Linked DNA regions of Coturnix japonica. The main gene of each other region encodes a partner of the protein of the gene in region 2 in a complex. Links are inferred from orthologs where the notes say so. Each region holds a gene or a part of one and is shown on either strand. Other genes may lie near its edges.

What was found.
Region 1: KIF11 (region 2) and MYSM1 share a complex: the UniProt entries of both Homo sapiens proteins name them as parts of the large chromatin remodeling complex. The link is inferred for Coturnix japonica from reciprocal best matches to the Homo sapiens genes KIF11 and MYSM1.
Region 3: KIF11 (region 2) and KAT2B share a complex: the UniProt entries of both Homo sapiens proteins name them as parts of the large chromatin remodeling complex. The link is inferred for Coturnix japonica from reciprocal best matches to the Homo sapiens genes KIF11 and KAT2B.

What each region holds. Positions count from the first base shown.
Region 1 is NC_029523.1:23,575,808-23,580,076, reverse strand, and holds the start of MYSM1 (histone H2A deubiquitinase MYSM1), read left to right. Parts: upstream 1-1,355; 5' UTR 1,356-1,395; coding exon 1,396-1,466; intron 1,467-1,839; coding exon 1,840-1,915; intron 1,916-2,130; coding exon 2,131-2,201; intron 2,202-2,701; coding exon 2,702-2,779; intron 2,780-2,898; coding exon 2,899-2,925; intron 2,926-3,369; coding exon 3,370-3,448; intron 3,449-3,844; coding exon 3,845-3,943; intron 3,944-4,124; coding exon 4,125-4,269. UniProt on the Homo sapiens protein: Metalloprotease with deubiquitinase activity that plays important regulator roles in hematopoietic stem cell function, blood cell production and immune response.
Region 2 is NC_029521.1:17,986,940-17,990,591, reverse strand, and holds the end of KIF11 (kinesin-like protein KIF11), read left to right. Parts: coding exon 1-117; intron 118-440; coding exon 441-557; intron 558-952; coding exon 953-1,078; 3' UTR 1,079-3,309; downstream 3,310-3,652. UniProt on the Homo sapiens protein: Motor protein required for establishing a bipolar spindle and thus contributing to chromosome congression during mitosis. Required in non-mitotic cells for transport of secretory proteins from the Golgi complex to the cell surface.
Region 3 is NC_029517.1:32,877,978-32,881,629, reverse strand, and holds part of KAT2B (histone acetyltransferase KAT2B), read right to left. Parts: coding exon 3,568-3,652; intron 1,004-3,567; coding exon 877-1,003; intron 1-876. UniProt on the Homo sapiens protein: Functions as a histone acetyltransferase (HAT) to promote transcriptional activation. Has significant histone acetyltransferase activity with core histones (H3 and H4), and also with nucleosome core particles.

The DNA.
Region 1 (4,269 bases), on a different chromosome or scaffold from region 2:
TGCAAAGCACAGCTGACAGATTGCCCTGCCCTCCCTTCTAGCCCAGCCACACACAGCTCCTCCAGGCTGGATGTGGGAGCTGAGCCAGCCTATTCCACAGCTGCACCTGGACAGAGAAGGCAGGGCTTCTCACTGAATACACCAGCATTCAGTGTCAGGCTGTACCGTGTTTAGACATCTCTGTATGATACCCAGTCACATGGCATTAACATAACCTGGAACTATCAAAATTGATCTGTGTGGAATCACAGGGGCTGGAAAAGACCTTTAAGGCCACCAAGCCCAACTCGCCCCCCCCCTTCCCATGCCCACATCCCTCAGTGCCACATCCCACAGTTGTGGATCACTCCAGGGATGTTGACCCCACCACCCTCTGTGCAGCTGTGCCGATGCATCCCCATTCTTTCTGAGAATCATTTTATTCCTTTTCTATCCTTTGTTACGCCACTTCTTGCATTTTTAAGTAGAGATCACAAAAACAGCCAGTTCAATCATTTCACTTCCAAACCGATCCCAGCACAAAGGCATCCAGAATAAAAACACTGCAGCAGAGTTTGTGGCACAAAGCAACGCACTTGTATCGTCACCTCTTGAAACAGAAACAGTCTTGAGTTGGTGGGAATCATTTCCTCCACAACGATCATCAACCCTCACAATTCTCACTTCCCCTCACTATGCAATTAGAAAACCAATTATAATGGGGAACCAAATACCTCTCATGAGGCCTTGATCACTCTGATAAGAAACATTTCCAACACCAAATGTGAATTCTTGCTGCCACAACTTGGGGCCATTAACTCTTTATCTTGAGAGCTTCTCAGAGCACTCACAATCACAGATCATCTAGTCCAACCATTCCCAATACTTCCCAGCTAAATCATATCCCTCAACACAACATCCAGACGTTTCTTGAACACCCCCACGGTCGGTGACTCCCCCACCTCCCTGTGCAGTGCATTCCAATGCCTGACTACCCTTTCCAACAAGTAATACTTCCTAATGTTCAGCCTGAATCTCCCCTGGCGCAGCTTAAAACCATTCCCTCTAGTTCTATTACACGAGAGAAGAGGCCAACCCCAGCCATCCCACTCCACCCCCCTCAGAGAGCAGGCGGCATCCCCGAGCACCCAAGGCCGCTCTCTCCCCGTTGAAGGCCACTCTTCACCTCCTCTCTGTCCCCACACCACTACCCAGCCATTATTACCCCTCTCCTCACCCCCAGCCGCCCTCTCCCCGCCCTCTCCCCGCCTACCAGCGCCATCTCTCCGCCTCCATCCGGCATCTCCTCAGGGCTCGGTTTCACCTCAGCCTGTCGCGCTTGCGCCCGCCATCAACTGAGCATGAGCAGAGCGACTCTGTATTGCTTCGTCTCGCGAGAGGTACCAGCCCGCTGTCATGGCGGCGGAGGAACCGGAGGTGGATGTGGAGGGGGATCTGACGGCCGCGCTCGGGGAGGCGGCATCAGAGTGAGTGAGGGTACAGAGCCCGTATAGAGCCCGTATAGAGCCAGTATAGAGCCCGTATAGAGCCGGTATAGAGCTCATATAGAGCCCATACAGCGCCCAGCCGCTGTGGGGAGCCCTGGGTTCTTTGGTTTGTTCGACCCTGAGCAAAGGGAGCCGAGGGGGGCCCTGATGGCGGCTGCAGCTCCTCACAGGGAGCGACTTATTGAGGGGGGTTTAGGCTGTGCCCAATGGTGTGTTATAATACTATCTAATAGTCTACAATGCGTGACGTGAATTTTACTATCTCCTTCTTCTGGTGATGGTATAGAGCCCAATGATACGTTCATTTTGATTGAGTATATGTGTCGTTTTGAATATGGGGCTTTTCTTTCAGAGGTCATGAAAACACAGCATCGAGCTTACTGCAGGATCACTATCTTGATTCATCCTGGAGAACTGATAACAGCCTTGTAAGTTATTTTTAATTGAATTGAATGATTGAATTGAATTGAATGATGCTACTAGCAAAGTTATTCCAACTTCAACCTCATCTCCATGTACAGCCCCTTTGAGATTATTAAACAGTGTCTTGTGCTTATCTCCAGAAGCTCTTTATATATTTCATTCTTGGTACTTAAATAGCGTAACAGAATCCAGGATTAAGAGCTGTTTGTGTTGTTTGCAGCCATGGACGCTGGACAGCAGCATTAGTGAAGAGAACAGGGCTGTCATTGAGAAAATGCTGCTGGAGGAAGAGTATCCTTTTTCTGATCTGCTTCATTGCAATGGAACTGGCCCAATGGTTTGTTTGACAGCATGACAGAAGGAGAGTCACTTTGTAGATGGATTGTAGGGACTTAATAAGTCATATAACTGCCCATAGCTTCTCCTAATGCCAGTAAGTCTTTGTCTTGTTCAGTCCCTTGGCACTTTTTTTGTGACTGAGTAACTCAGAGTAACAGAAGAAACAAGAAAATACAGGGATTTTCCCAACGTAATGAATTAATGAGGGTTAAACTAAGAGTAGATAAGAGAAAGTTACTTCATTATGGTTTCTGTGTCAAATAAGCAAAAGCCTGTTATGGAAACAGGACAAACTCAAAGTGAGTGAGTTGTGCATTCAGGAAACAAGTATCACTGCCTTCTGTATTAAACTAACAGGAGCATTCCTATGACTGAAGTATTAGGAACCAATGTAACTAATAGGATTTCTAGAGTTCTTATATCTTTGAAAGCTTTCTTAGTAACAATTGCAGATATTACCTATCAAACAAATCGCTGTCTGAGAAAATATGGCTCAGTCAAAAGGAAGCAGAAAAAAGATCTGTGAAAAGGTGAGCTGGGTAATAAGAAATGAATTAATAAGAAATTAAAAGCTGGTTAATTGCAGGTATGTGCAATTGTATCACATTGACTAACTTTTAATTTCATTCTGTTGTGTTTTTATTTGCAGCCCACATAAGAAAACTGGAAAAGTCATGTATGTACATTGTCACAGTTGCATTGTTTTCAGCATGGCTTCTAATTTTTGTTAAGTTACAGAACACACACCCAAAAATGTCACCTCCCTAAAGTTATTCAAGGGATCTTTCAGCACACAGAGATACTGTATGTAAGAAAAGGGCTGCAGTTAACTCATTTGTTGTGTTTTGTTGCTGGTTTGTTGGTTTGCTTTATAACACAGTTGTCCTTATTTAAAGAAAGAATGCTAATTCAGGTTGGCTTTCGTGGCTGTCTTTGAGTCTTTCTTTATGATGGAGAAGCTGACGTGTTTGTCAGTCTATCAGCCAAGCTGGTGCTTCAAACAACACCATGAGCTTTAAGGAGATAATTAGTGTTGCTCTTGTCAGGAGTTGTCTTCAGTCACTGGGGTTTGGGATGATATGCTTAAGAAACCATCATCTCATTTCCTTCCTGTTCATAGGGTGCGATCTCCTACAAAACCAGGCAGCAACTCATTGAAGTGGACATCAGAAGAAAAAGAACTATTTGAACAAGGGCTGGTATGAATGCATTGATGTGTAATTGTTTGAATAGGCCATTAATTTATCTTAAATAATAAACTAATCATAAATAAACACGTTGTGCTTAGCTGTTTCTACTTGTGTACTTGTAACTGCACAGTCACACTGCTGTCTTAAGTGTGCTTTAAGTATAGAATGCATAGGATGAGTGATGAAAGTGAAATCCTGCAGCTCGTATTATTAGGAATAGCAACACTTCTTACTGTTGGATGCGATGCATTCCTTGTTGCAATGTGATTATTGAGGTTCTTGGGTTCGGCTGTACTGTTTGTGTGTTTGTAATGCAAAACTGAGCTTTTAAACACTTTGTGAGTATGAACTGGAATGTTTGGAATGTTGGAGACTGGGTAACTCAGGTTTGCTTTGTTGCTCTAGGTGAAATTTGGCCGCCGCTGGACAAAAATTGCCAAGTTGATTGGGAGTCGTACTGTTCTACAAGTGAAGAGCTATGCCAGGCAGTACTTTAAGAACAAGGTAAACAGAATATTTCAAGTATTGTTGTCAAGTTAGTTTGCTTTGTATGATTTTGGTATTTTTATTGCTTTGTCAGCCTAACACCTCCCTCTGAACGTCTGTCTGCTGGTCAAGTAAAATAGTTCTGATTGTCTGGGAAGCAGTTTTTTTCCTCTTTTTAATGTATCTTATGCTTTCCTAGGCAAAAAATGATGGTTCTGAAAGAGAAGAGCAAAGTCAGTGTGGTGGCAGCCTTCCGTCTGAGGATGGAGTAAGGGTAGAAGCATGGTCAGCTGGAAGCTTGAGAGGCCGTGCAGACCCTAACCTGAATGCAGTGAAAATTGAAA
Region 2 (3,652 bases):
ACACTGGTGAAAACAGAACCCAGGGAACGTCTACTTGAACAATTGCGGAGAAAACAACTACAGATTGATGCTAGGATGAACAGCGTGGTAAAGGAAGTGGAGGGGAATGCAGATGAGGTATGCTTATGTCTGACAAACATATCAATGGAGATTTCACATCTCTAAAGTGTTTTGTATTGTTCTTTTAATCTCTGTGGAAGGTTGACTATAAACCCAGCACTGCTGCAGCCTTCCTGCATGGTACTTGGAGTTGCATACTGAGCTTTTGTGAAAAACACAATCTTGAAAAATAAGGGAAGACCTTAATAGCTGTTTAGAGGCTCTCATTTCTATTTTACAAATATATATAAAGCGTGATGAGATCTGTACAAGACTCAGCACTTCCATTCACGTAGGAAACTCAAATATTCAGTGAACTTCTTTGAACGCTTCTATTGTAGGACCTGCTGGCAGTGGAGGAAGGAATGCAAGAATCCAGTGAAAGTCTTGGTGGTGACAAGTACTTAGTGGATGTAAACATAAGCTGTCATGCAAATGGGGGCATTCCCTTTTTCCAGGTAACTTTCACAGCCATTCTAAACAGTGAAAGACAGTGAAAGAAAGTTATCATCCTATAATAGGCTTGTAGTATAAAATCATTTGCTGATAGTCTTCAGTGTAGTCTTACAACTTCTTTTACTGCTGTAGAATACACTTTGTTAAACTTCAGTCAAAATAAAACATTCTAACAAGGTATTAAAAATATAATTATTTGCTAGACACATGCATTTGTTTTAACGGAAAAGATGAGATTTAATACAGTGCATTTTCTTAGAGACCTGATTAAATATAAGCTTTTTTGATTTTATTTTTTTTTTCTTGCATGCTTTTGACCCTTCTCTTCCACCGATGTATTGTGGACCTGCATTATCTTAACATGCAAAACTTATCAGATGTTTTCTTTAAATTCCAGTATAAAAGGAGTCACAAAAAAGATAAAGAGAACAAATCTGCGATGATGTTGGAGAAAAACAAAACTGAAGACATGACAGAACAGCTACTTCCTAAATCTAAGCTACCCTTAAGATCAGCGAACTAAGATTATACATATATGTATATAGTGCAGATTCTTATCGAATACTTTTGGTTATCTACTGAGCCATAAGTTCTCTTCGTTATTCTGCCTCTGTATATAGTGATATATTGATGCAACGTTGGATCCGAAACTTGACCCAATATGTCCTGCCTTTGTTCTGTTTTTATATATGATGGCTTGCAAAGTATTAACAGTTCTATTTTTAAAACAAAACAAAAAAAAAACCTGCAGATTATGGTGCTGTATGTTACGTGACTTTTTTTTATCCTGTCAATTAATAGATTGCTTTCTGCTTCTTATTAGATTTGTAGTAGCAGGAAGGGATATGGAATAATGCTGGGTTTTTCATTGTAAATATGTGGTCTGTTTTTGTACTTGTCTTACACTTATTTCTGTTGCTATAAAGTAGATGGTTGTCTTTGGGATACTTTTAAATAAATCAGTTGATACATAGAGTACAGATGTGTATGCATATGTGGTTTTGGTCTTAAACTTGATAATATAGCTAAAACATTAGTGTATCTGCAAAATAGATGCTCTGGACACCATTTAGATAAAGATCAATAATTTTGATTATACCCTTTCACTGTGATTCTCTTAGTTATGGCACCAGATAGACTGATCAGCTGTATTTCTGTACCACTTCTTACCTGTTATTTTTCTTCATGGGTGAAGCTAATCTCTTTTCTTTAGCAGCAGATAGCAGGAGACAAAAGTATGAACAAGGCAGCTGTATGTCCACTGATACATTATTGTTTTATTTGTATCATCTTAGTACTTAGCTTATATACTAGATCTTTCTATTATGTGAAGTTTGGAACCCTATATAAAGGGGTTTTGAAATCTTGTTTTGTCTGTGGGAATGTTTCTATCAGTGTGGTTGGTATATTGTGAAATTCTGATAACAGAAACCTAATGGATGTAAGAATTCTCCAAGGCTTAGCATCTAGGTTCTTTTACACTGACAAGATTTTTGTTAGTGTGATCTGTCCATTTCCTAGCTGAAAGGCATTTCTGCAAGTCTTTCAGCCTTAATTTTTCCATATGGAGTTCACAAGACTGGTGTGAACAAACAAACTGGAGCAGCCAATGCCAAGGAATGATCACAGAATCACAGAATTGTAGGGGTTGGAAGGGACCTCTAGAAATAGAGTCCAACCCTCCTGCCAAAGCAGGCTCCCTACACCACATTGCACAGGTAGGCGTCCAGGGCACATCCATTAAAATGATGCCAGTATCTATGCTTATTTAACTTCTTGAAACTACCCTTGTCCATAGCTGTTTGATTTTCCTTGGTACAGATGCAGGTTGCTTTTCTCATATTGAAAGGCTTTAACAGTTGTATGAATCTTTAGGAGTGCTTGCTTTCTCTTTTCAGAGAGATGTGTTTTCTTACATTTGCAATAATATTATGGCAGGTAACTGCTCCTTTCGTTGGGCCTGGTGTGTAGTGGTCATGCCAGAAAGCTGAATGGGATGAAAAACTTGGATACTCTCTGCTTCCTTGCCACGTTCTCTTCTTCCACTAGGTGGCTCTAACACTGAAGTGTTACTCTAAACCTCCAGCGCCGATTGCTAACTAGGATTTAGGAACAGGCATTTTGCTGAGGTTTTAGTCAAACATCTGTTACAAGAGCAGGTTTGAAAACCTAATAATTTTATGCTTCTGCTAGGATAACCCTATATTCAAACTGTGGTGAGCGTTTGTTTAAGGAAGGAGCTGCACCTGAGTGAAATGTTCAGAATCACAGCTTGAGCTTTGCCACAGGATCAATAGATGTTTGTAGTAATTAAATGCTCTCTGAGATCTCTGTTGCATGGGCATTTGCTAAAATAGGAAGCAAAACCTACTTGTTTAGCTGTAAGAGACACCTTCCTTAACTTTGCTTACATAGGGTTACTGGATATACAGGTTTAACCTGTAGAGAAGAAATTGGTGATCTGGTGTAGTTTACAGAATGGTATCTATTAATGGTATCTATTTGGCTTGTTAGAAAGTATCACTCATAAGAAGTATCGAAGCTGTTTCCACAGAACAAGTCGGGAGGTCATAAGCTGACTGAGTTAGTTGCGCTGAGCTGGAGGTAGAGTTGTGGTGTGACTGGGATTGTAGCATACAGCTGCGCTCTAACTGGGTAATTTTTCCGTCTGATTCTAGATTAGCAGCCAAGTGGGGCAACTCTTGAATTAACAGCAAAAAAAAGAAAAGGAAAAAAAAAACAAAAACAAAAAAACCAGAAATATGTACAATGAATGGTAAAATGAACAGGGGAAAAAGAGCTTAAACACATGTAATGTGTGAAGAGTGATAAAAAGACAACAGGAAACAATAATCAGAGCCACCAGCTTTCTTTTCAATTGAAAGGGAGCAATGAAGAGACTGGAGGAAAGGAAGCTTTCTGCTTCCAAGCTGACTGCTGTTGCTGGCTGCTTGTATTTCAGGTATCAGAAGCAGTTGTGTGGGACTTGAGAGGAGTGAGAAGGTATGTAGTTGTTAGGCTCTACTTTCTTTGTTCTGTTAGACATCAGTCCCCTTTGTAATCATATGTTAAATGAGCAGAGGAAACAAGAGAGCCT
Region 3 (3,652 bases), on a different chromosome or scaffold from region 2:
AATAAACATACCAACAGCAAGCTCTGTTACTGTTCATATAAAACACTTTGAGTGCTTTTTTTATATACTACTGTGTCCATGGAAATGTTAACCTTATGAATTCAGAGTCTCATAAATTCAAATATAATTCAAGTACTAAAAGTTGTCACAGGCTTTCACACAGTTTCTGCTTGTTCATCTTCTAGAAACTCTAAATTAACCCACATCTCAGCATTAACAATTTCAACTGAAAAACATATAGCTACAGCACCATCTAAAGGCAATATCCTGAACTAAATACTCCCACTTAGATTTACCTGTAATCCTGGAGAAGAAGAGCAGAATCTCCTGTATATTTATAGTGCTTTACATTCTCTCAACATTACAGATCAACACTGAGAACATTATGCACACTGTACTCAAAAATAAGTATGCAAAACAGTGTATGCTTATTTTGAGTTGTGAAACTATACCTAATTTATTCGATATAACTAATTTTCATTGAAGCTGTTTAACATCACAAAGAGACTGAGCATATATTACAAACACATGTAAGCTACACTTAATTCAGCCAACCATGATGCGTTATGCCACACTGAAAGGCAGTTGCTGAAGAAAAGGGTGAATAATCCAAGAGTGGAAGAAAAATTACCATTATTTTTGTGTTGAGGAATGTGTCTTTTTTCTTAGAAAAATAGTCCCACTATTATTCTGATGATTTTAAATCTGTCCTATTATTTAGGTTTTCTATGGTACATTCAGAATCACTGTATCTATCAAATTTGATTTCTGTTTGGTAGCACAATATATTCAATGAGACCACAAAATTAGGAGTATATACGGTGGTAAATGGAATTCATATGCATTTAATAAACTCTAGTGGAGAGTTAATTTTACCTTGACTTGCTCATTGGAAGTCACAGCACAGAAAACGATCTCTGTAAATCCTTGGGAAGGGAACATTCGGAAGCAGATACCACCAATAACACGACCATCTTTTATTAATGCAAGAGTCTTGTGTTTCCTGAGTAGACAAAAATAACATTCATTTTAATTCATGTACATAGTACATAATGTGCCATTACTTTCCTTTTTTCAGAAACTTGATTCACTTCTTTCCATGGTGCCACTGCAATTGTATATGCCTCTGTTAAGATATCTGTACCTACCGAAGAGTTTTTCTTAACATCATGCTTTGAGTTTACCATAAAATTCATCATTATGCAGCATGTCCTAGCCTTGCCAAGTACTCCTACATACTAGAGTACTTCTATTAATAAGATTTATATTACTTTTGTTGACTATATTACTGACAGTTGTGCCATTGCATAGTTCTCAGTATGATCTTAGCCTGCCTAAATTAGAAATTAATGGAGTTACAGGACAGCAAGTCCTTCCTAAGGGATTCCTGTTTCCTTGCATGTACTCTGAATAGCTGTGCTATCAGTTTCCAACACAGCTGATCAAGCAATAAATGATATTTCATATTTCTAATCTAATTCCTAGTAAAATGGAGACCAGAATAAATATCCATTTCTGTTGCACTTGCACTGACTGCCGGGAAAGATAAAGCAAGGTGCAATCTGAACTCTCACATCAAGCACCAAAATTTTAGCATCATCCTCAAGGTCTGGAAAGATTTACAATGCAGCTGTTCTCTAGCTTATTCAGTACACAGTATAATATAAACTGTATAAACAGTACTGTAAATTCAGAGAAGATGTCTTTGATGTGAAGGAAAGTTGGTGCCAAAATGAGCCTCTTCCAAAAAAAGGTCAGTCTGAAAAGTATTTTAAATGTTAGTGTTGAAGTAGAATTTATATATTGTACATATTCTTTTTTTTTTTTTCTTTATTTTAGTATTTTTAATTTGTAGAAAGACAGCAGTGTATAGTAGCTTGTGTTTTTAATTTTGTTTCTTCAAAACAAAATTGTTTGTTCTCTTGTTGGAAAAAGATTTACTAAGGATGACCACTTTGGAAATAAGAACAAAATAGATCATAATTATATTAATGGCTGAAAAGTCTTTGGAAGAGAACAGTTAGACTGCACTTTTTCCTATCAACTTATTAGAAGAGTCTTTGCTAATAAAGAAGGGCCTAGAGAAATGTGGGAGGAGGCTATGGCACAAGACTACTGCTTCAAAATTTACTCAGATGTTTGGTTATTGTGAAACCTGAACTTCAACCAGTAGCTTCTGCTTGAGTTCACAGTGCTGCTAAGACACCAAACTTCAGAAAATTTCTCAGTGCTGCCTCTCCCTCCAAATCGAGCAGCATTTACCCTCTCATAGGAGAAGAAAAAGAGTCCAGACTCGTGCTGGTCCTCACAAGAACCTTGCTGGTCCCTTCTGAAGAACACAGGAAAAAGTTCCACGGTTGGTCTCCTGTGCTTGGAGACTGAAGTTTTGTCCGCTTGTCCCAGAACTGGGTGGCCTGAGCTTCAGAGATTGCACAGAGCATGCAGCAGCAGAGCTTGCTGGCACTGAGAAAGTAGTGCAGAGGGAAGTGCTAGCAAGTCTAAAAGCAGAGGAAATCATTCCAGAAGTGTTTTCCTAACTGCTACAGCAATAATAGCAGACATGAAGACAGTGGCTCATATCACTGGTGGTGGAGGTAGGCTCTACCACTAACCAGGCTAGGCAGACATCTAGATCAGCTCAAGCAAAGCTCCATTTGTGGTATCTACTGACATGTAGCAAAGAGTCCACAAGCACACTACACTGTGAAGTGCTGCAGTTAATATTGTAGACCCCTAAATCTTCAATGGACATGGGTTGTACACAGGCAGAAATCTGGGGAAAGCACATTGGTTGGAAGTAGACTCTGTAAGAAGTGCAACAGTCTAAAAATAGACACTTCTGAGCAAAAGGTAAAGAAAATGTCAGGGCAACAAATTGTCTTAATGTATTGATCAATAAGAAGATTGACACCTGACAGCCTTGAAACTCTAAAGGCAATGAGTGCTGTAAACAGAAGAAAAACATCCGTGTAATAGAACAGCTAAGCAGAAGACAAAAGTCAGAATGGGCAGAGCGTAAATATCCATGAATGTAGAGAAAACCCTTTTTCTCCTGCTTAAACACAATTCATCAGTTCACTAGGGTGGATGAAGACAACATGCAACCTGTGGATGTTGCTATAGCAAATATATCTCTTTAAAAGTGCCTGTGGTGTAGATTTGTACCTAAAGCAAGGCAGGAAACGTGCACGTATAAAGAGAAAGGCAATGTACTCCTGTGAGCAGTGATTTTAAGCATTCTCCCCATGTTGACTTAGATGCTATTCTTCATAAATTCTGCAAGTTCTTCTCACTGAAAAGCCTTCAATCTCTGCTGCCATTTGGTTTTCAAACTCCAAAAACAGAGGATAGAGCAGTCTGCAAGTTAGTATGGGCCCAGAGGCCACTAATGAACACCAGAATTATTTTCAGAATTTTGGTTCTAACATTCATAAGAATAACATAAGGGTAGCAGGGGTAGAGTTCCTCTCTACAGTATCTGGGCTGGCCCATTCTAAAATCACTGTCTGCAACAAGCAATGTGCTCTCTTCATCCCAATCATGAAACTCCTCTCCAGCCATACTCACGGATCAAAAACCAAGCGTGTGATGTACTCCTTTGGCATCCGAGGGAGCTGATGGGAGAACACATTCTGCAAACCAACCAGCCACA